Caenorhabditis elegans: one gene and its partners. The protein of the gene in region 1 interacts with the protein of each later gene in a pairwise test. Each region holds a gene or a part of one and is shown on either strand. Other genes may lie near its edges.

Region 1 (6,382 bases):
CCCATCTCGACATGTCAAATAACATTCTCAGTTCTGCAGAAGGATATAGGCCAAGAGTTATGCAGGCAGCACAGTTTCTGATATCTTTGGACAGACAAATTGTGTGTTTTCCTTATACAATTTAAGCTAGTCTCTATTTCGAAATTGTTCTAGATTCCATTGGAAGAACGACATGTTAACACAATGAAACAGACCACGAGAGGATTAAGCTTGGAATTGATTGAAAGAATGTTAGTGGTTTATTTTTTGAAATCATATATAAAGTTGATTTTCAGATGTCCTGAATGGAAAAACAAAAAGGAATTGATGATTTGTGATCAAAAGATTGAGCAGATTATTTTGGAAAAGTCACAAATGGAGGAGTGAGTCAATTTGTTTTTTTTAGATACCAAAACGCAGTTCAATGATAAATGTACATACCTTTTCATACCTATAGGGCACATAATTTTCTGGTTTTGTAAGTTTTTTAAATTTCTGGTTTTGAAAGTTTTGCATGCAATCCCTTTCTGAACATGTACATATGTTACTCAAAACGTATAATAAAATTTCAAAAAAACGTTCCAAATTTAAAAAAAAGAGATTTTAATTTAATTGCAGATTATCCCAAATCCGACTAATTGACCTGTCTAAAAATCGACTGTCAAGCGTTCGTGAAATCAGTTCCTTCAACATCACCCATCTTATTCTCAATAACAATTGCCTGAAATCGATTGCAGTAAACGATGGCCAAACATCATTGCAGCCATTTCCTTATTTAGAAAACCTAGATATTTCGAATAACTCAATAAGCAATACATCTATTCTGAGACTTGGAATCCCACTTTTATTGAAACTTAAAAACATTAATTTGTCGCAAAATGCATTGTCAAGGTTGATAGTTATTGTAAATCTAGTCACACTTGAATATTTTCAGATTTGATTGTTCTCTATTTGATCTTCCGAATTTGGAATCAGTTGATTTGAGTAACAACTCGATAAAAACAATTATCAGACGCCCATTGAAAACTTTAACTTCCTTGAATCTTCAAAATAACAAATTGACAACTCTAACTCCATTGTCATGCCCTAATCTAGTGTCATTAGATATTTCAAACAATAAGTGAGTTTTTGATAGGTGCCTAACTTTACGATTTTTAGCAAGTTCTATACTCTTTAGCTATTAAAGTTTCAAATTTGTAGACTTGCGTCTTGTGCATCTTTGAAGCCTCTCTGCGAATGCAAGACTCTGGAAAATTTGGACTGTAGGAACAATTCAGTAACGGAGAGAAGGGTTTATGTTGATTTTATCAAAGCACAGGTTCCATCTGTTAGAAAACTAGATGACGAGATTATGAGCAATGAAATTGAAATTACGAAACGAAGATTGTCTCGAGCAAATGATTTGATCTCGATGAGCAGAAGAAGCAGGTACTTACAATTAGGAATATCTGATATTATGACTCTTTTTACACTACACAATTTCAGTATGGTGACCTCGTCGATGCTATCTTGGTTCGAGAGAGAAGAGGGTGAAACTCTGGAAAACGTGAAAAGGGCTTCAAGTTTTCTAGAACCAAGTGCAGCTGAAACCCCCATGAGACCACGACGGCTTGAACCTCTTCCCGGAAGACGTAAAACTAATAGTGAAAGCAATGGATTAATGTTGTTAGGTACAAAGTAAGTGATTTTATATATTAGTTGAGAGATTATGAAATGTTTCTAAATTCGTTTTTGTTCATTTTCAGAGCTGTGCAACATCGCAAGTAAAAGGCCCAATTATGTGGAGAGTCTGTCGAATATATTTTTTTCTAAACTATTATTATCATTTTTCAACTAAATATAAATACTATCTGAATAAGTCTCATGATAGGTATTCAAAAGTTAGTAGTGCCTACCTTACAATAAGAGTAACTACGGTAGTTGTCTGAGTCTATTTTGGTCAGTGTTCTTCAAAATGTAGAATTTTGGAAACATCATTTGAAATTTCGATTTGATCTTACAATCAGTTCAATATAATACCACTTTTGGGGTTTTCACAGGAATTCTGCAGACAGTTTTATTGGGAACTAGTTCAGAGCAGAGGTGGGCGGATATTTTTTCGGATATTTTCTAATAATGAATTTATCAATAAGTATTGATGTAGTTATTCTGGAAAAAATGTATCCGAACAAAAGAGTAACTATTAAGAAACATTTTAATATGATAAAACCTAGAAAAATTCTACAAGTTTTCTGTATAAACGATATGCAAGTCCATTATCCGATATCCGTAATATCCGTAATATCCGATATCCGATGTTGCTCGGCTAATAAGTTTTAAGGTCTCGGTAAGGAAAACTTGTAGAATTTTTCTAGGTTTTATCATATTAAAATGTTGCTTAATAGTTACTCTTTGGTTCGGATACATTTCTTCCAGAATAACTACATCAATACTAATTGATAAATTCATTATTAGAAAATATCCGAAAAAATATCCGCCCACCTCTGGTTCAGAGTAAAAATCCATTGTTAACCATAGGAAATGCACTGGATTCTATACTGAATTTTCAGATGAAAATTTTCAGACTCACCGTGTGTTTAGCAGGAATGATTTACAGATTCTAAAAGCCCAATTTGTCAGAAGATATAACATGTTCAACTTATTTCTTATCATACCACACGGTTACATAATTCCCTAGTAGGCTATAAGGTAATGCAGGTTTCACCCCACTTTATTTATTTCGGCATTATCACTTTTTTTTTCAATAAATATCACTTTTTAATTTCACGTTTTTAAAAAAATAGTGAAATAATTAAAACATTTTAGAAAGCCAAATTTTAAGTGAGCGTGAAACGAAAAAAAAAACCGCCCATGAAATTTCAAATTTATTTATTTCTTGATACTTCGCCAGCTCTACGAAGTTTTTCCAAATCGTCAAAATGTCCGATTCACCAAGAAGCGACGAAGAGGATCTCAGTGAAGGTTCGGACAGCTCAGTATCACTGCATCAGTAAATTTTTCACTATATTATGCTACGTGGATCTCTTTTATTGAATTGTAATTTCAAACAACTGCCAACGTAGCAAAAACTAAACTGTATGCTGTTATGAAAAGTTTTATTCAAATTTTAGAATCGATCCCAAAATTCAATGTATCGTCACGGACCCACGTGCAGTGCGAATCTTGATTCTACATCAACATCTTCAAGGCATTCCAGTTTTCAATGCATATAAAGCAATGAACAAGGTATTTGGAGATCACTTTATGGAATACCGACACTTTGAATATTGGTATATGGGACTTGCAAATGGGAGTTTAACCGTAGACTCTTATGATAGGTTTGTGTTTTTTCAATGAACATAATATCACAGTACCTTTTATAGATTTCATACATCAGAGAGAAAAGAGTTCACCGACTTTTCAACCTACTTCCAAGCAATGATTCTGGATAAACTGAATCCAATTGATCGGTAAGAATTGATTGTATTTTTGTTTTGTAAATACAAAATCTTCAGGTTTGCTGCACGCGCAGTTTGCCGTGGTTTTAAGTCTATGATCGATTATCAACATTCTAACCTGAAAACGATGACTATGTATCTAGAAGAGAAAAGCGTTGGATTGAAGACAAACGGTGGCTACGTGACCTATGAATTGGAGGATGAGGACTGTCAAGTGAACTATAAGAAACGGAAAATGATTGTTAAGGATAAGAAACCATTGGAGGTTGCTATGAAGGATGTATCAAGACTTTTGAAGATCAGAGGATTAGATATGGATTACTTCGCAATTATTATGACGGAAATTATGGAAGAAGAGTTCGTTTCATTTGATGCTATTAACGACGTTCTTAAATCAATTGGAATCCTGTCGGCAAAATCAGTATTGCTCGATTGGTTTCACACTTTTGAAATTACTGTACTTCTGAAATACTTTAAGCCTGGAATCCTGGAGGACTTAACAATTAAATGTCTTGAATCCGATGAAGAGTTCACAGGAAATCTGGTGTACCTGGAACAGTGGAAAAAGGCAAAGAATCTGAAATTGTCTAAAGTCCCAAATTTTCCAATTATCGTCGAACATCTCGATAACTTCAAATCTTTGAACTTCGACTTCCATGGGGAACCTTTCTCAAGAGATGATATCATGAAGCTTCGAGATGTGAGTTTCCTTTCATATATCAATTTTCCCAAATAAACTTTCAGGAGGTTCTTCTAAAATCAACCAAGTTTGAATACTTTTCTTGTAAAAATGTGAAATTCAACACAAAAATGTTCGTGAAAGTTTTTGATGCTCGCTCAACTCTATTTTGTTCGTCTGGCTCAATTGTTTATGAATCGTCCAATGGAATATTCGATATTGCTTATCATCCGAATGGGTTCAACATTAAGAAGAAAATTGACTCGCAAGTTTGAACTCGTGAATATTAGGATAATAAATTATTTATCATTTATCAAACTATTTCAGTGTCGAAATATACCACATTTTCAAAAATAATGGAATTGAATTAAAAATATAATCATACCGTATCCATTCAAAACTTCCTGAGCGTTGCGAGACCTGTCCACAAAAGAACACCTCCCTCCAAATTTGGCTACTGTCTTGCTTCATTTTTCATACTGTTTTTTTGTTTCTTTTTCGTTCTTTTTCAGCCTTGGTCTGTTTTTTCCTTTTCACCTCCTTATTCTCTCTTTTTCATACACAAATAGCAAGAGAATAAGATGATAGAAGAGACGCAGAGTGCGAAAGGACGGAGCCTCGTTGCCCGCCGAACACTGAGGTTTATTGACTTTTCTACTGCTTTTCGAGCTGCTTTCGCGGAAAAAAAGATTGAGCTTTCTTTCGAGAGCTTTCGACTGTGCTTCTCGACTAAAAATATCGAAATACAACTTTTAGTTTGTCTTGCTAGCCTATCTTTTTGAAAATAATTTGTCAGGAAGCTGAATTGGGAAGAAAACGGAATAGTTAAAAATTTTACCTGTGATTTGTGCGATTATACGCATTTTTAACCATGTGTCTCGATAATTTCAATTATAACATTTTCCTCTGTCTCTTTCTATTTCGTTATCTTTTTTTTCTCATTTACAGTTGTTTCTTATTACAGAATAATCTCTCTCCAACAGAATGACGATATGAAAGTAATAAAAGGCGTCACGTTCATCGTTCTCGTCTTCTTCTCCTCACTTCTCGGAACTGTTTTTCTTCTTTTTCCGCTTATTCCTCTCGCATGGTTTGCGCCGAAATTATGGAGAACATGCGCCGATCGTCTTGTTGGATTCTGGTTAACTTTTCCATGTGTAAGTTGTTATTTGTGGTTAATTTTCTAAAAAAAAACTGTAAACTATAAAGAAAATATTTTCAGTCCCTCATCGAATGGGTATTTGGAGTGAATTTCCGAGTAACCGGTGATCTGATCGAACGAGATGAGCCAGCAATTTTGATAATGAACCACCGGACCCGACTTGATTGGTTATTCTCGTGGAATGCTCTTTACAAAATGGATCCATGGCTTCTCACCACAGAAAAAATATCTCTGAAAGCTCCTCTCAAAAAGATTCCCGGCGCCGGTTGGGCTATGAGCAGTGGATCTTACATATTCTTGGATCGAAACTTTGAAAATGATAAACCAGTTCTGGAAAGGATCGTAAAGTATTACTCGGGCTCAGAAAAGAAATATCAGATTCTTCTTTTCGCCGAGGGAACTGACAAAGGAGAGCGAGCAACTCGTTTGAGCGACGCTTTTGCCGATAAAAATGGATTACCGAGATATGAGTATGTATTGCACCCGCGAACGACGGGATTCAAATTTTTGATGGAATTGATGAAAAAAGGTGAGAGAGAGAATTTCAATTTTTGAATGCGACTAGCGACGAACCAGGGGATTTTGCAGAGAATTATATAAAATACGTTTATGATCTCACAATTGCGTACAGTGGAACTATAGTCGACACAGAAGCAAAACTTTTGGCTGGCAATTTTCCAGATGTAAGTTTTTATTGTAAAAATATTTAAAATTTTCTACATTTATTAAATTGTCATAATTCAAAATTTAAATTACAAAAACCCCAAAAATAATAATTTTAACAAAAAATTGTTTTTCAGAAAGTTCACTTAGATGTTAAAAAGTACAAGCTAGACGAAATTCCAACAGGAGAAGGGTGCGAGAAATGGCTCACCGATTTATGGGCAACAAAGGAGAAGCGACTGAAAAAGTTTTACGAGCAGGAAGAGCGACTAGAAGCAAGTGGTGATAGATTCGAGTGGCCGGTTGGTTTTTTTGTTGCGAAATTCAATGATTAATCCAACATGACATTTCCTACTACAGGAGACAACTACTGGTATCGGATACTACGTGGCGTTTGCCTTTTGGGTTCTCGCATCGCTTATTTGGATGGGTGCCATCTATTCGCTGCTATGGGTCAAGGTA
Region 2 (8,824 bases), on another chromosome or scaffold:
AATTGAACTTGGGTCTGCTAGATATTTAGCAGACCCAATTTCGATTTTTTTTGATTTTAACCGAAATTTCACAAAAATTTCCAACAAAATACGGTCTTGAGGCGATGAATCGTATTTTTGATCCAAAAATTGAAAGATGCATCGTTTTTGTAAAATTGATACTTTTTTTTTGATTAAAAAACATTTTTCACTAATAATTCTGGACAAATTTATGAGCACCTCGGTTTTTAAAAGTTAAAAAATTTAAATCCCAAAAGTTCCAGAAGCCGCATTTTTCAGGCTGTCTCAGTTTGATCTACAAAAAATGCGGGAATATTTTTTCAGAAAAGTTGTGACGTCAGCATGCTTTAAACCATGCGAATACAGATGAGATGTCTGCGTCTTAACTTCCCGCTTTTTTTAAAGATCAAACCGAAATATGGCATTCTGACCCAACGTGTTTTTTTCAGATAACGTTGGGATTTTGATGGTAAAAACTGAAAAATCTGAAAATTCGAGGTTTTTTGGAGGAAAAAAAATCTAAGCGTCATGTTTAGCCTAGAAATATAATTCGCACACCAAAAATAAAATTTTTTATTGAATTTTTGACATAAAAATCGGAAATTTCAATTTTTTTTGTAAAAAATGGAAACTTATCGATCATCGGTATTTCTGTAAGGTTTTATTTTATTTATAAAAAAATGATGACTTCTATACCATTTTACAGCTAAATTGAAGAAAATTTATTTTTTTTCCAAACAAAAACAATTTTTTTTGTTGCATTTTTGATAGAAAAGCAAAAAAATTTTCTTGTAAAAAATTCAAATTTATCAATTTTCGGACTTTCTGTGAGAAACTAAATTTAAAAATATAATATGATGGTTTTTATAAAAGTCTAGAGCTAAATTAAAGAAAATTTCTAGATTTAATACAAAAAAAAAATTTTTTGAGGATTTTAGTGAGAATTTTTATTTCAAAATTTCTCCTCACATTCGCCGCGCCGGGAATCGTCGGTCCACCAGTGCCAGGTATCATTTTCTGACTGTAAACTTCTGGATAGACCGCAGACGACGTGGAAGGTTCTGCAACCTCCGATGATGACGTGGATTGATGGTAGTATGGATCATCATCGTCGTCATCGTGATTCATATCATCCACACGTGGATTTCTGAGGATAAAATAATTAATTAAAAATTAATTTTTAAAACAAATATTCAAGAAAATTCGAAAAACAAAAAGCCAAAAAAAATATAACATTAAAATATATTTATAGGACTGCTGAATATCTAGGCAAAGCCAAAATTCAATTCAGAGAGCAAATCTCCACGTCATCAGGTGCTCAATGCCTACTCACACATATACACGAACAGGTGATCAAGAGAGAGAGAGAAAAATTTAATCCGCTCACTGATTTCCTGTTTTCTATGGAATTTTCAATTTGGTGCAGCTTTGGCGGGGAAAGGAGAGGCATGAAATATTGACTTTTTATGTGTAAAGTTTTGAGATTTTATGCTCAAATAGAGCTAAACTCTCAAAAAAAGTGATTTTTCAGTTGGAAAATTGCATTAAAAACTAATTTTTAAACATTTTTTGGCCTAGGAGACTTAAAAATCTGAAAAATTCATTTGAAAATCCATATTCACCATTATTTCGGCTGAAAAATATATATTACAGCGAACGCCTTGAGCTTGGAAAAATATCGGAAAATGCACGTTATCAATGGAGCGCGCTTGCCCACTGCCACTTTTTTATGGATTTTCCCCAGTTGTCATGAGAATTTTCATATTTTCGGGGTATTTGATAAACAAAATACGTATTTTCTGAAAATAAAAGCTAATTATAAACTCTCGAGAGACCCCGAGTGTAAGGTGCAATTATCGGGATGGAAAATTGAGGGATTTCCTCTCTTCCCAGTGCGAACAGCAAGAAAATTATTATTTTCCGCAAGAAATAGAATTTCGTATTAAATATTTACAACTGAATGCTCTTTTCATGGTTTATTGAGCTTTTTAATTGGATTTCTGGAGAAAATTGGTTGCCAAATATTTAGCAGACCCAACTTTGGTCTGCTAAATAATTTTTCTTGGGTCTGCTAAATATTTAGCAGACCCAATTTGGCTTGCCACGTGGCAAATATCGATTTTTTTCTATTACAATTTTTGTAAAAGAAAGTAGATAAACGCTGAAAAAAACACGCTAAAAAAAGGAATTTTCAAATCGGAAACTCAGGAATAAACTTCAATTTTTATTCTAATTAATCGTCAATATTCAAATTCGACGAAAATTTTCAGATTACCAAATATTTGGAAATTTGGAGAGGATTTTGTGTGGGAGAGGGATGGGGATAGAGTATAAGAATTTCGAGACGCAGGGTGAATATTTTCTTTAAAACAAGAAATGGGGGAAAAAAAGGATAATGTAAAAATAACATGGATTTTCAGGTAGTTCTAGATGGGGGTGGGTTTAAGGCAGATTTCACGGTAGCGCAGGGTTTGTTCGGATATTTGAGAGGAGGTTCTTGAGAATGAGAATATCTGGAAATTATTGGTAATGGGGGTTTCAGAAAAATGAAACAAAAAATTGGGTCACAGTGAAAATTAGAAATGGAAAGTTGAATAAAACGTTAAAAAATTAACAATTAAGAGGAAGAAAACTTATTTTTTGGGGCTTTTTTTGCAAACTTTTTTCAATTTTTAGTGGTTTTTTTTGTTGAATTTTTTGATTAAAAAAAGATAAAAAACTACGCGATTTTCAGTAAATAATACAGATGCAATTTTCAGAGGAAAGAAAAACAATGGACAAAGAAGAAGAAAAAAGAACAGAAAGAGAAGATTTGAAAAAAAAAGAACAGGAATTATTATATTATTAGGTTCTATAAGGATTGTTCAATATTTGTTGAGACTGTCCCTGCTGCTGCTGCTGGCCTTGTTGCTGTTGTCCCTGATTTTGGATAATCATGCCAGAAGTGTAGATGTTCTGAGGAATCGATTGGGACGACTGCTGAAAATCCTAAAGTTTGATTAGTTGGATGATTCTAGAATTGGGGAGATTTGAGTAAAAATCAATTTTTTTTTTGAAATTTGGGTCTGCTAAATATTTAGCATACCAACTTTGGGTCTGCTAAATATTTAGCAGACCAACTTTGGGTCTGCTAAATATTTAGCATACCCACTTTGGGTCTGCTAAATATTTAGCATACCCACTTTGGGTCTGCTAAATATTTAGCATACCCACTTTGGGTCTGCTAAATATTTAGCATACCAACTTCGGGCCTGCTAAATATTTAGCATACCAACTTTGGGTCTGCTAAATAGTTAGCATACCCAACCTCGAGTTTTATAGCAAAATTCCGCTCAAAAACTCATTTTTTCCTAGTTTTCATCGATATTCACCTGGTGTGACACCTGAATCTGCTGCTGTTGCATGTGTCCTTGATGGAGCACCTGGTGCTGTCCAATCCCATTGTTTCCCTGATTTCCAACCAACTGTTGGTGCTGTTGCTGACCATTCGAGATTATATAGGCCTGTGGCGGTGGTGTAACCGAGCGTGGCGTTCCCGACGACTGATTCGCGCGTTGTCGGAGAAGGATCTGCTGAGCGTGCTGTGTGCGCTTGACGACGTCACGTTCCAACGAGGAGAGAGCGTCCATATCGTCCTTTTTGGCGGGGGTGCCGGTGCCCATTGTGATGGTTCCAGAGGATCCGACGGCCATCTGTCCGGCGCTGATCATGTCGTCCATCTCGTTGCGACGACGCTTTGGAGTGTAGCGTTTTTGATTGTACGACTGAAAAATTAAAAATTAAAATGTTTTTTTTTTTTTTGAAATTTTGTTTTTCGAAAACACACATGCGCAAAGCCTACACACAACAAGCATTCTCATTCTCAATTTCAGTATCCAAAATTCAAAAAAAAGAAGAAGAAAAATAAAAGAAAAAAGGTTTCACTAACGTCTCCGAGATCGAGATCATGGTCGATTTGCGTGTCAGATTGCTCATGAGAGGGCCAAGACTCTTCTTTCGGTTCTTGTTTCGCGACCTACAACAAAATTTAGGAGTCTGAGATCTCGGAGAGTTGGGGAAGAAACCCGGGGTTTTTTTTTGGATTCGCTAGCGCAAATTTTCAAATTTTTCGTGCTCAAAAATAACTAAAAGTCATCGCAAGACCCTCTCTGTCTCTCGTTGGTGATTGATTAGTTGTAGCAAAAATATATTCACCTTTCTCTGATCAGGCGTCATTCGCTGGTAGCGAAGACGTGCCGCTTCGGCTCGTTTCGCGTTTCGGACCACAATCTGCTGAGCACGATCCAGTGCTTCTCCGTTGATACGGCCTATAGGCATGGCGAGCAGCATCTCTTCTTCCATACGACGGCGGCGGAACGCTTCTGTCCTTCGTTGATTGTAGACGCGCTTCTCGTCATCGTTCATTCGATGGTATCTGGAAATTTGGAGGTTTTTTGATCGAAAATGTGTGGAAACTCAGGTGAATTTCGCAATTGTTGGGTCTGCTAAATATTTAGCAGACCAAAGATGGGTATGCTAAATATTTAGCAGACCCAAATAAATATTTAGCAGACCAAAGTTGGGTATGCTAAATATTTAGCAGACCCATTCTGAATATTTAGCAGACCCAAGTTTGGTATGGTAAATATTTAGCAGACCCAAGCTATTCTGATTCCCCCGAATCTCTTCCTTACCGTTGACGAGCCGCCTCCGCTTTTTTCGCATTCTGCGTCTTGATGTGCAACCGGACAGCCTCGTCGTCCTTCTGTGGATCTCCTGTAGCCATTCCACATGCCTGAAACTCCGATTTCTGGAATGTTACGTCACGGTAGCAGCGGAAAAATTACAAATTTTGTGTGTTAGGGAGGAGAGATTTTACCAAAAATAGATTTTCACCCAATTAAATTTTCCTCTTCTCCGCTAATTTTCCAGATTTTCTGCTAGAATTCAATGTTCTATATTCACCTTAATCGCGCTCATCGCGTTCTGCATCTGCCGCATACGTCTCCGCGTATTGTGCGCCCGGCGCTCTTCCGGCGTCATTCTAGCGTAACGTGTACGGGCGGCCTCTGCCCACTTGGCCCGCATTCTCTTCTCTCTGAGCTGTTCGGTGATGTCCGGATCCTCTTGAATGTCATTTGTCTCCCGCAAAATCGATTCGAGCTCCTCCATCTCCTTCTCACGTTGCCGTTTTCGCTTCTGCGCCAACGTTCTTTTCAGGTTTAACTCTCGTTTCTCTTCGTTTGATAGTCGGTGATAACGCATTCGGGCGGCTTCTGCCTGTCGCGCCTTCTTTACTCGATCCTTCTCGCCTTTGTCGGGTGACGAGGAGAGTTTAACATTCATTCCTTCTACTTGTAGGTCCTGAAATGTTTCTGAGGTGTGCTCGGTGAGTTCGCTGCGTGATTTCATTCAATTCGTGTTTTCAGTGTGTTGAAACTTAAAATTCGCATTAAAACTCGAGAAATGGACAAATTCTGCTCGATTTCGCATCTTGGGTCTGCTAAATATTTAGCATACCCAACTTGGGCCTGCTAAATATTTAGCATACCCACCTTTGGTCTGCTAATTATTTAGCAGACCATAGTTGCAAAACTAAGCAAGTTCCAGTAACTTATCGACTTTTTGAGCAAATTTTTTGAAAAATCCGCTCAAATGCGAAAATCCACGCGGATTTCGAGCTGCAAAATTCAAAATTCCTTGAAAAAATCACTGAATAACACGAAATTCTCCCCAAAAAAAAACAAAGAAAAAACAACGAATTTACCACATCTCCTACTTTCAACTGAGGTATTTGTTGATTGTATGATCCAACTGATTGTTGTATTGAAGACATCTATAAAATAAATCACGATTCACAAACACAACCACAATTACGATAGAATTTACGGTAAAAAATGAGGAAAATCGAGATTTTTCGAGATTTCCGCCATTTTTTTAAGCCAAATCGCACGATTTTTACGATTTTTACCTGAACTGGCTGCTGATTATTCCACGACGTTGATGTTGAAGGTGTCGTACTGTCGATAAAATAAGCGTCAAGCATATTAACTAAACTCTTCTCTTCTCCCATCCGCCGCTGAGGTGTTTGCTGAAATTAAATAAAATTGAACATTTTCACTCGATTTCCTGAAAATCCCCTACCGTCACTGAATTAGGTATAAAAGTTGCGGAATTAGAGGAATGAAAATTGTTCGCATTTGAATTTGAATACGTCGTCGGCTGATAGGAGTTCTGTTGAAATTGCGATATTCCGTGTAGCTGCTGATTTTGATTACCGCCCGAGCGGGGATCCGAACTGTATGTGTATTGTATATTCTGCTGCATTTTTTATTATTTTTTGTGTTTCCGAGCCTGAAAAAATTGGAATTTTAGGTTTTTAAGCTAGTTTCCGATGAGAATTGCGATTTAATAAGGATATAATTGTGCTGGAAACAATTTTAATCACTTGAAAAATTAATTTTTTGAAGAAAAACCAAGGAAAACCAGGAAAACCAAAGAAAAATAAGAAATTAAATGGAGAAAGTGAGAAAAATAGAGAAGCAGATAAGTTTCGAATTCAAATTTGCCGGAGTGTCACTGGAGCGCACTTGCCTCCTTCTCAATTTTTCGAATTTCATAAGACTAGAATAATGAAAACACTGCTTAAAATGACTGGAACAAAAGAAGAATACATGAATTTTGATTGAAAAATTGAAAAATAAAATTGAAAACAACGTATCTCACTGCAAAAGCTTAAAAAATTCTTATTATAGTCCCAGCATGTACTAATTTCGACGGAATTGCGCCAAATTTTCACTGATCCACGTGGAATTTTCTGAATTTTACTGAAAATGCAAAAATCTTAGTTTCTTTTCGTGTTGGAGCTGTGTGCACAGGTGCCCAGGTGCACTGCTTGAACATGGTGGCCGTGAAAGAGAAAACTCGGTCAGTCCCTCTAAATCCTGCGGAAAAGGTCCTGCTGATCCACTTTTAAGCTAGTTTCAGCAAATCCAGAGGTATTTTGGGTTCCAGAGGCAGAGTTAGCATTCTAGAAGAGCAATGAATTTTGGTGGCCGACCTTTTATATCCGCGGTCCCCACGAAAAAGTCTCAGAGTGTCTCATTTCGGTTTGATCTGCGTAGATCTACAAAAAATGCCGGAGTTGAGGCGCAGAGTTCTCAACTGATTTTGCATGGTTAAGAACTTGCTGACGTCACATTTTTATGGGCCAAAAATTTCCGCATTTTTTTGTAGATCAAACCATAGTAGGACAGCCTGACACCACGAGGGCCCCGTATCCAAGTACCTGAGCCTAAAGCCTAATGTAATGGTTCTAATACCGTCTTCCAATTCCTATCGCTGTGGGTTCTCTGAAAATCCCTCCGAATTTTCCCATTTCACGGCCAAGGCATCAAATCCAACCTGTACCTCTCCGTTTCAAGTCGATTTTTAGAATTCAAATTTGTCCTCTTCGCGCCTAAACCGCCCATGCTCTTCCCATCATCACTGTTAACCACACTATTTTGTTGCCTGCCTGCCTTCTGTCTCTGCGCTCCCAAAATCAGCGGAAAAGAGTGTGTGATGGCGGATGGATGCGGTTGGGGATGGTAAGAAGAAGAAGAAGTGTAGGGAGATGAAGGGAACAAGACGGGGGGCAAAAAGTAGTAGTAGTAGAAGAGGAAGAAGACTAAGAGAAAACGAAACATATACACAAAAGAAGAGGACGATTTGGGGCGCATAGGACGAGAGGGAGGAGAGATTGGAGACGGGCGGGGCATTGTGTACGAGGGGAGGCCGACCGCGACGCGGAGACGCGTTGCACACTCGCATACACAATGCGCGCTGCGGAGAGTCCAAACATCACTAGACACTGTGCCGAGTGGCGGAGATCACGAGACACCCGGCACGAGAGAGCGCGCCCGTCGTGGAGTGTGTGTGCTTAGAGGCCGTGACGACAGCGTATCGATTGTGGAGAGTGCGTGGAGGAGTGCCGAATGAATGGGTAACGTGATGCGGAGAGAAAGATGGGGAGAGATGGATCGGAGGGTGCGGCAGACTCGAAAACAAGAGAGGCGAATGACGGCCGACAATAACTCTCAGGCACTCTCAGTGAGGAAAGAAGAAGGAGAAGAAGCACAGGAGATAGTATAAGGAGAGGAAGAGGAGCAGAACTTGGCTTCTACCGTATTCAGAGGCTATGATATCAGGCCTCTTGGGTCTGTTAAAATAGAGAACCCAGGCCTTAGAAAAGCTTGAAAGTTGTTGGGGCTCTCCAGTAGTCCTGGATATACCATGTGGAATCAGACTAGAATGGAGCTCAGGCTATCCTTGAGGCACTAGGAACTTCTGGAAATTCTGAACACTGAGAATTTTGCCTAGGCTTCTACCGTATTCAGATGCCATGAAATTAGACCTCTATCAGACCTCTAATTGGGCTTTGGTCTGTTAAATAGGGGCCTATCGGGGAACCCAGGCCTTAGAAAAGCTTGAAAGTTGTTGTAACTACCGGGGTATTCTTGGATATTCCAAGTGGAATCAGACTATAATGGAGCTTAGATTATTTTTTATTTTGCGTCTCTGAAATAGATAGCTCAACCTGTAAAGAATTCGCTGAAAGTCAAAAAGTTCCCACGAAGCCACTCGAAATTTCGCCAGGCCCCTGAAAATCGTTTTCTCGGTGAACAAGATCTAGGACTCTTGCCTATCCTCTCTGCAATTGGCTCTAACCTCTTGCCAAAGTTCGGCCCAAAAATATTAGCTTGGATCAAAAGATGCCTAAACTTGGGCAAACGTTAGGCAAGACTTTGTCAAAAATTTGGATTCAGGCTTTACCAAAGTTTCACCCAACTCTTGCCTAACTTTG
Region 3 (5,457 bases), 9.7 Mb from region 1:
AAGCATTTGGTAAAATATATCAGAAAATTTTTAGAAGTCGAAAACAAACTTGCAACGTTGTTTTCTAGATTTTGGAATTTTTTTGACATTTTCGAACAGATTGATAGCAATTTTTGTACTATACTTGTTGACATCTCAAAAATGTATTCTATGTTTCCATTATTTAGATCCCAGTTACGTTATAACCTGACAGAGGTTTGCGGGCGGTAAGTAGAAAAACCAGAAGCTTACAAAACTTGACCGCACTTATCAGCTTCTCAATTTACTTAGTTCAAAAGTTTTATGACAGAAGATTTACAATCTTTCACGCATATCTATAACTTTCAGTGCCTCTGGTCATCCAACCGCAGATTGTAAATGACCCCGCGCAAAACAACATAACTCTTCCAATCACGCTTTGTGCAGTTTGTGGGGACACTTCTAACGGAAATCATTACGGTTGGAAAGAAGATTTAGAAACTAGATAACAATGAATTTTAGGTGTGCCAACCTGTTTCGGATGCAGTGGGTTCTTCAGAAGAACCGTTAGAAACAAGTTGGTACATGGATGTTGGAATGGAGACGGAAACTGTGTGATTGATAAAGCGAACCGGAACAGGTGCAAGTCCTGTCGAATTAAAAAGTGCTTCAAGAAGGGGATGAATAAGAATGGTAAGCTGCTTCTCTGAGTTTGGGCTTCAGATCATTAACTTTGTGTTTGCACCATATAGTGCGGTAGGTATTTTTCAGTGGCCGACATTTTTTTGAGTTTCGCGCCGCACCATATTAACAAAGGCCTGAGGCCGGCAGAAGCCTCCTGAAGCCGGCGAAGGCGACACAGTTTCGTCTCTAAATAATTATTTTCCAGCTGTGCAACCCGAGAGAACTTCCCATAGCTACACTGTAGAGTATGTCGAGTTGCCCTCATTCCGAGAGTATTCCAAGGGACTTCTGCCTACTCACTCTGATCGTCTCAGATTCCAACACGAACATGCTCAACATGAAATTGTTAGTTAATCAGGAGACAAACTATCAACCTGAGACACCACAAATTTAATTTCAGGACACAAGCTCCGTGCTAGTTCATCTGAAAAACGCACTCCAGTGGGTGCAACAGTTTTCGCTCTTCGCAGTGCTTTCCGATGTTGAAAAGGTCTAAATGCCAAACATAAAAGTCATTAAAAAAATTTCCAGAGCCAGATCATACTGACCCAGTGGCCACATCTTTTGTGCCTCGCGTTGTTCGAAAACTCCGAAAAAATCTTCATCGATGAAAAATTTGCACAACTGGCTGAGAAATTCAAATCCCTCGAACTTTCGGCGCAGGATTATTTCCTCTTGAAGGGAATTATTATTTTCACGGAAAGTAAGTTTAACTAGAAAAGCTGCTGAGCTTTCAGAAACTAAAATTTCAGCCAAAGATGGCACTGATCTCAAATTCGATCGCCAACTTGATATCTGTATCGGCCTTCTCAATCAGTTGCACCTGGAGTCTTCAAAGTCCAAATCTGGAAGGCTTCTATTTCTCCTCGGCGAGCTTAAATCCTATTCTACTAGACAGCTTGAATCTCTCCTGGATCTTAAAGCTTGTGAGATTGTGATTAGTTTTCTTTAAATTTTGACTATTTTTCTGATGCTGTTATATGCACACATTACCCCCATTTTGCTCACTAGTAGTGCTCAGCTTAAGCTTAGACTTAGGCTTACGGTTAAGCTTAGGCTAAGGCTTAGGCCTTGGCATAGGTCCTGGCTTAGAGATTTTCATTTAATTTGCAACTGTTTCCTCAAAAACAATGTTCAAACCCAAATTTCTTTCCTATTTTTTCTCCAGATTCCCCCAAGGCAACCAAATTTTTTAAACAATTTTCTTCTCGATCAGTTGAAATACTTCCAAAAACGTTACAACGATTTTGAACAGTTTTTTTACAAGTCAAAACAGTAGTTGGCTGCAAATTTGGCCGCCAAAGTTTTTTTTTTTTGCAAATGGTAAATTCATACACAATGAACAAACTACACAATATACAGACGTTATACATTTATTTAAATTATATTTTTTGTTGGAAGCAATGTAAAGCGTACTTGACAGACAAAGTTTTTTTTTGTTTAAAATAATTTTTGATTTTGTTTTAAGTGACATAAAAGAGGTATGTAAACCGAATCAGATAAAGTTCAAGTTAATTATGTTTACCAGGGAGCTTAATCCTCGCACCAAGCGTTTTCCTTCTTCATGGCCTCCCGTTCCTCCTCGGAAAAATCGTTCTCAATGTTGAAGAGGGTTCGGATTTGGCTTGGAGTTTTACCCTTCATCATGTTAGCCACATTCTGGGTGGTCACGTCCAAAAGCCCACGGATGTCGAGGTAGTTGGCGGCCTGAAAAAGAAATCGGTTTAATGTTCAATTCTGGAGAATAGCTTATAAAACTTTAATATTTACCAAGATAATTTCGAACAAGGTTCCCTGATCGACTTTCATGAATTCGGCGTCCCATTCACTAATGTCTACCGTCTTTTTGTTTTCGTCGACTTTCTTTGGCTCATCGTCGGCGTGATGCTCGCACCAGGTGATAATCTTCTCAAGGATAGTAGAAGTCACTTTCTGAAGTGGAATCGTGTCTTCAGAAGTGGATCCAGATTCTTCAATTCCAAGGTTTTGGATAATATCTGTGATGGTCTTGGATTGACTGATCACTTTTCGTGAGACCTATAAACTTACATTTTATTATTTAGTTAAAGGAAATTATAATTTAAAAAATACCGTGAAAGTTTTATCATCAGAAGAGGTGAGCTTGATTTGTTTCTGGCTGTCGGCGTCTGACATTTTTTAAATATTCGATTTCTTTGTGTAATCTGGAAAATTTGAAATACAGTCAAGAGTCGAAGAGTCAACTCAAGAAGAAAAAAAAATTCGAAAGTTACTTTCAGCAGAAAAGAGACGAAAATTGCTGAGTATTTTATGTGAAATATGAAAACCATCGGTTCCCTTATCTATATTTGAAGAAGGGAGAGAATGGGGTGTGTGTACACATTTCGAAACAAATTGCAGTGTCCAACGTCATGCGATATATTTTTTAGTAAAGTGTGTTCAAAAGATCAAAGATTTATTTTTTTTTAATTTTAAATTGAAAAAATTGAACGAAAATATTTTGGTACGCATTTTGATTATAAAACCTCTCAAGTTTTAACCAAGAAAATACTGAATTTGACAATTACCGTATTTCCTCTATTAGTATTGCACCTGACTATTTAACTTTGAAACGTTATATCTCGGTTCATTTTGAAGATATGAGTTTATCATTAATTACGAAATGATGGAAAAAAAACTAACAAATATTTTGTCAGTTGACAATGTTTAAATAGGACAAACAATGACTGAGATATAAGCTGACAAAGTTGAACTTTGGGGTGGAATACAATTAGAGGAAATACGGTGTGCTATTGGAAATTTAACTAAAAAAGAATGTACTCATTTTCAAATTGATAAGAACAGAAAAGTGAGCAAATGTCTGATACCTCGGTTGGTTTATAAGCTGGAAAACGTTGCCTTGCTACGTTTAAATGTCGAAATTTGTGTTGATAGGAACAGTGTACACAACTTGAGAATAAGAGGCTGAGGAATTTAAAGATGGGAGGAGAGATAGAGAGAAGTGAGAAAGTGTGACGAATTGTTGAGTAATGTATGTATGAAATTGTGAACGAAAAAAAGACAATTTTCAGTGGAATACATTGAATTAAATGTGGATCAGAGTCTAGTTACTTTATTTTTAAATTTAAGTTTAAAAAAAACTCAAAATTGCCAGAAAATACCAAATTTTATAATGAAAAAGTACCACGAATTTTTTATTCTGAAAAAAAATGAATTGCTATGAAAATGCTAAATATTTTTATTGGCAGACCGCAATTTGTTAAAAGGGGTCAGAAAATTGGCCGACTTAACTTTCCTGCTCGATATCGGTTAACAAACAGTCGTTTTTTTTTATATTTCGCAATTTGAGATGATTTTTGAAATTCAGTTAAAAATAATTTTTATTAGATTTTACTGAAAATAGTTATGTTTTTCTACGGACAAAACATATTTTAAGCGTAAAAACCGTGATAAAAACAATTAAAAAACGTTTTAGGCAATCTGATGCTGAATGAGTCGCACTCTCCCGTGTCAATAGAGCGCGGTTGCGAAGGTTTTTGTTTCCTCACGGTGGTACAACAACTAAATCAGTGCCAACGCGATCTACCGTACGAACACAAATTTCACCGGTTAGGAAATTTTCAACTCAAAAATTTCTTAATAGAAAAGATGGAGAATTGTCCTGTGGTCATTTTTCATATGCATCGCAAAATAAAATTTGCGGCTTGTTTTCGAGATAGCAGTCAATATAGGTTTTCGGACTGGGTATCTTAAGCCAAACCATCTAGTTTATGTACTACCGTGTCCTAGGAAGGATCCTGCCCAGGGGTGATAAACATGAATGCGGACGGTTTTTAATACAAATGGTGACACTGGAAAATGAACATTAAAAGTTAATGCCTTTGAAAAATTTCATTAAATTCAAATGCTTTTCGATGAAAAATAACTTTCAGTACTTTTAAAATGTTTTGTGAAATTTCTAGAGCAATTCCAGTTGTCATTATACAATTTCTTAATGGTGTTAATGGAAAAAGTGTCATGTAAAAAGGAAATATAAATTTCTCAACGTAAAAAATTTTGTGAACATTTTCTTACTCTAAATGAAAAGTTAGATAGAAACATCAATTTCAAAAACTCATACGCATGTTCTTCACGAACAAAATTAGTTTTATTGAGTAACTGTAGGTAGCAGAAAGAAATCGCCGTTTGGTGTGTTTTCTGCTTTATGGAAGAAAAATCGTACAAATAATACAATGGATAATTCGGTTGAGAAGAAAAAAAATTTCATAGCCGTAAGTTTTCTATAAGTCGTGCTCCATAATTTGGTGATTTTATAAACAATTTGAAAGTAATACAGTTTGTGAAAAATATTACAACAACTATGGTAAAACAAAAAGTGGGTAGAACATCAGTTAAATACGTGTTTTTATTTTCTTCCATAAAAATTATTGCTAGGTTTTAAAAAATTTAGACTTGTTTCTTCATCCTGAAAAGTTATTGTCCTGTGCATCAGGAAAGAATATACACGTTGAACTTCTTCGGAAGGATGGGACTTATGTGTTCTCTTTCCCTTTGACCGAGAATAATCTTGGTCGTTTATCTCACGTGATTCTGTCGAGTAAGGTGCATTTAAAGCCCATTGGTCACCAAGTTTTTTTTTTTTTTTTCATTTTGGCTACCATGGGGCTGACGTGACAATAATCGTATGATAACTAATAACAGAACACAACTGCCCTGTCTACGCCTATACAATTGTTTTTTGGAATAACCATCACATACGATTGTCAAATTTCCGGTACATCATGTTGTGTCTTGACAAGGAAGCTAATAAGACACGCCTACCACAGACACTACGAT

What was found.
Region 2: the proteins of fbxa-196 (region 1) and gei-4 interact in a two-hybrid assay, tested with the Caenorhabditis elegans proteins (2 studies listed by BioGRID).
Region 3: the proteins of fbxa-196 (region 1) and skr-3 interact in a two-hybrid assay, tested with the Caenorhabditis elegans proteins (one study listed by BioGRID).

Annotation. Positions count from the first base shown.
Region 1 is NC_003283.11:6,445,811-6,452,192, forward strand, and holds fbxa-196 (F-box domain-containing protein), read left to right. Parts: upstream 1-2,845; 5' UTR 2,846-2,897; coding exon 2,898-2,968; intron 2,969-3,089; coding exon 3,090-3,296; intron 3,297-3,341; coding exon 3,342-3,428; intron 3,429-3,473; coding exon 3,474-4,116; intron 4,117-4,160; coding exon 4,161-4,370; 3' UTR 4,371-4,407; downstream 4,408-6,382. Other genes in the region: T05H4.3 (U2A'/phosphoprotein 32 family A C-terminal domain-containing protein), read left to right, coding at 1-101, 154-230, 276-362, 598-870, 914-1,099, 1,180-1,407, 1,465-1,656, 1,725-1,746; acl-8 (Phospholipid/glycerol acyltransferase domain-containing protein), read left to right, coding at 5,088-5,252, 5,318-5,786, 5,846-5,940, 6,058-6,222, 6,281-6,379.
Region 2 is NC_003281.10:342,095-350,918, forward strand, and holds gei-4 (BZIP domain-containing protein), read right to left. Parts: upstream 6,334-8,824; 5' UTR 6,307-6,333; coding exon 6,124-6,306; intron 6,071-6,123; coding exon 5,951-6,070; intron 5,816-5,950; coding exon 5,747-5,815; coding exon of another isoform or gene 5,594-5,746; intron 5,344-5,593; coding exon 4,945-5,343; intron 4,790-4,944; coding exon of another isoform or gene 4,775-4,789; coding exon 4,674-4,774; intron 4,415-4,673; coding exon 4,195-4,414; intron 4,016-4,194; coding exon 3,929-4,015; intron 3,765-3,928; coding exon 3,372-3,764; intron 2,989-3,371; coding exon of another isoform or gene 2,980-2,988; coding exon 2,845-2,979; 3' UTR 2,212-2,844; downstream 1-2,211. Other genes in the region: Y50D7A.8 (PDZ domain-containing protein), read right to left, coding at 970-1,128.
Region 3 is NC_003283.11:16,119,192-16,124,648, reverse strand, and holds skr-3 (Skp1-related protein), read right to left. Parts: upstream 2,826-5,457; 5' UTR 2,797-2,825; coding exon 2,734-2,796; intron 2,680-2,733; coding exon 2,413-2,679; intron 2,350-2,412; coding exon 2,176-2,349; 3' UTR 2,001-2,175; downstream 1-2,000. Other genes in the region: Nuclear hormone receptor family member nhr-111, read left to right, coding at 328-438, 481-651, 848-987, 1,043-1,132, 1,174-1,345, 1,395-1,594.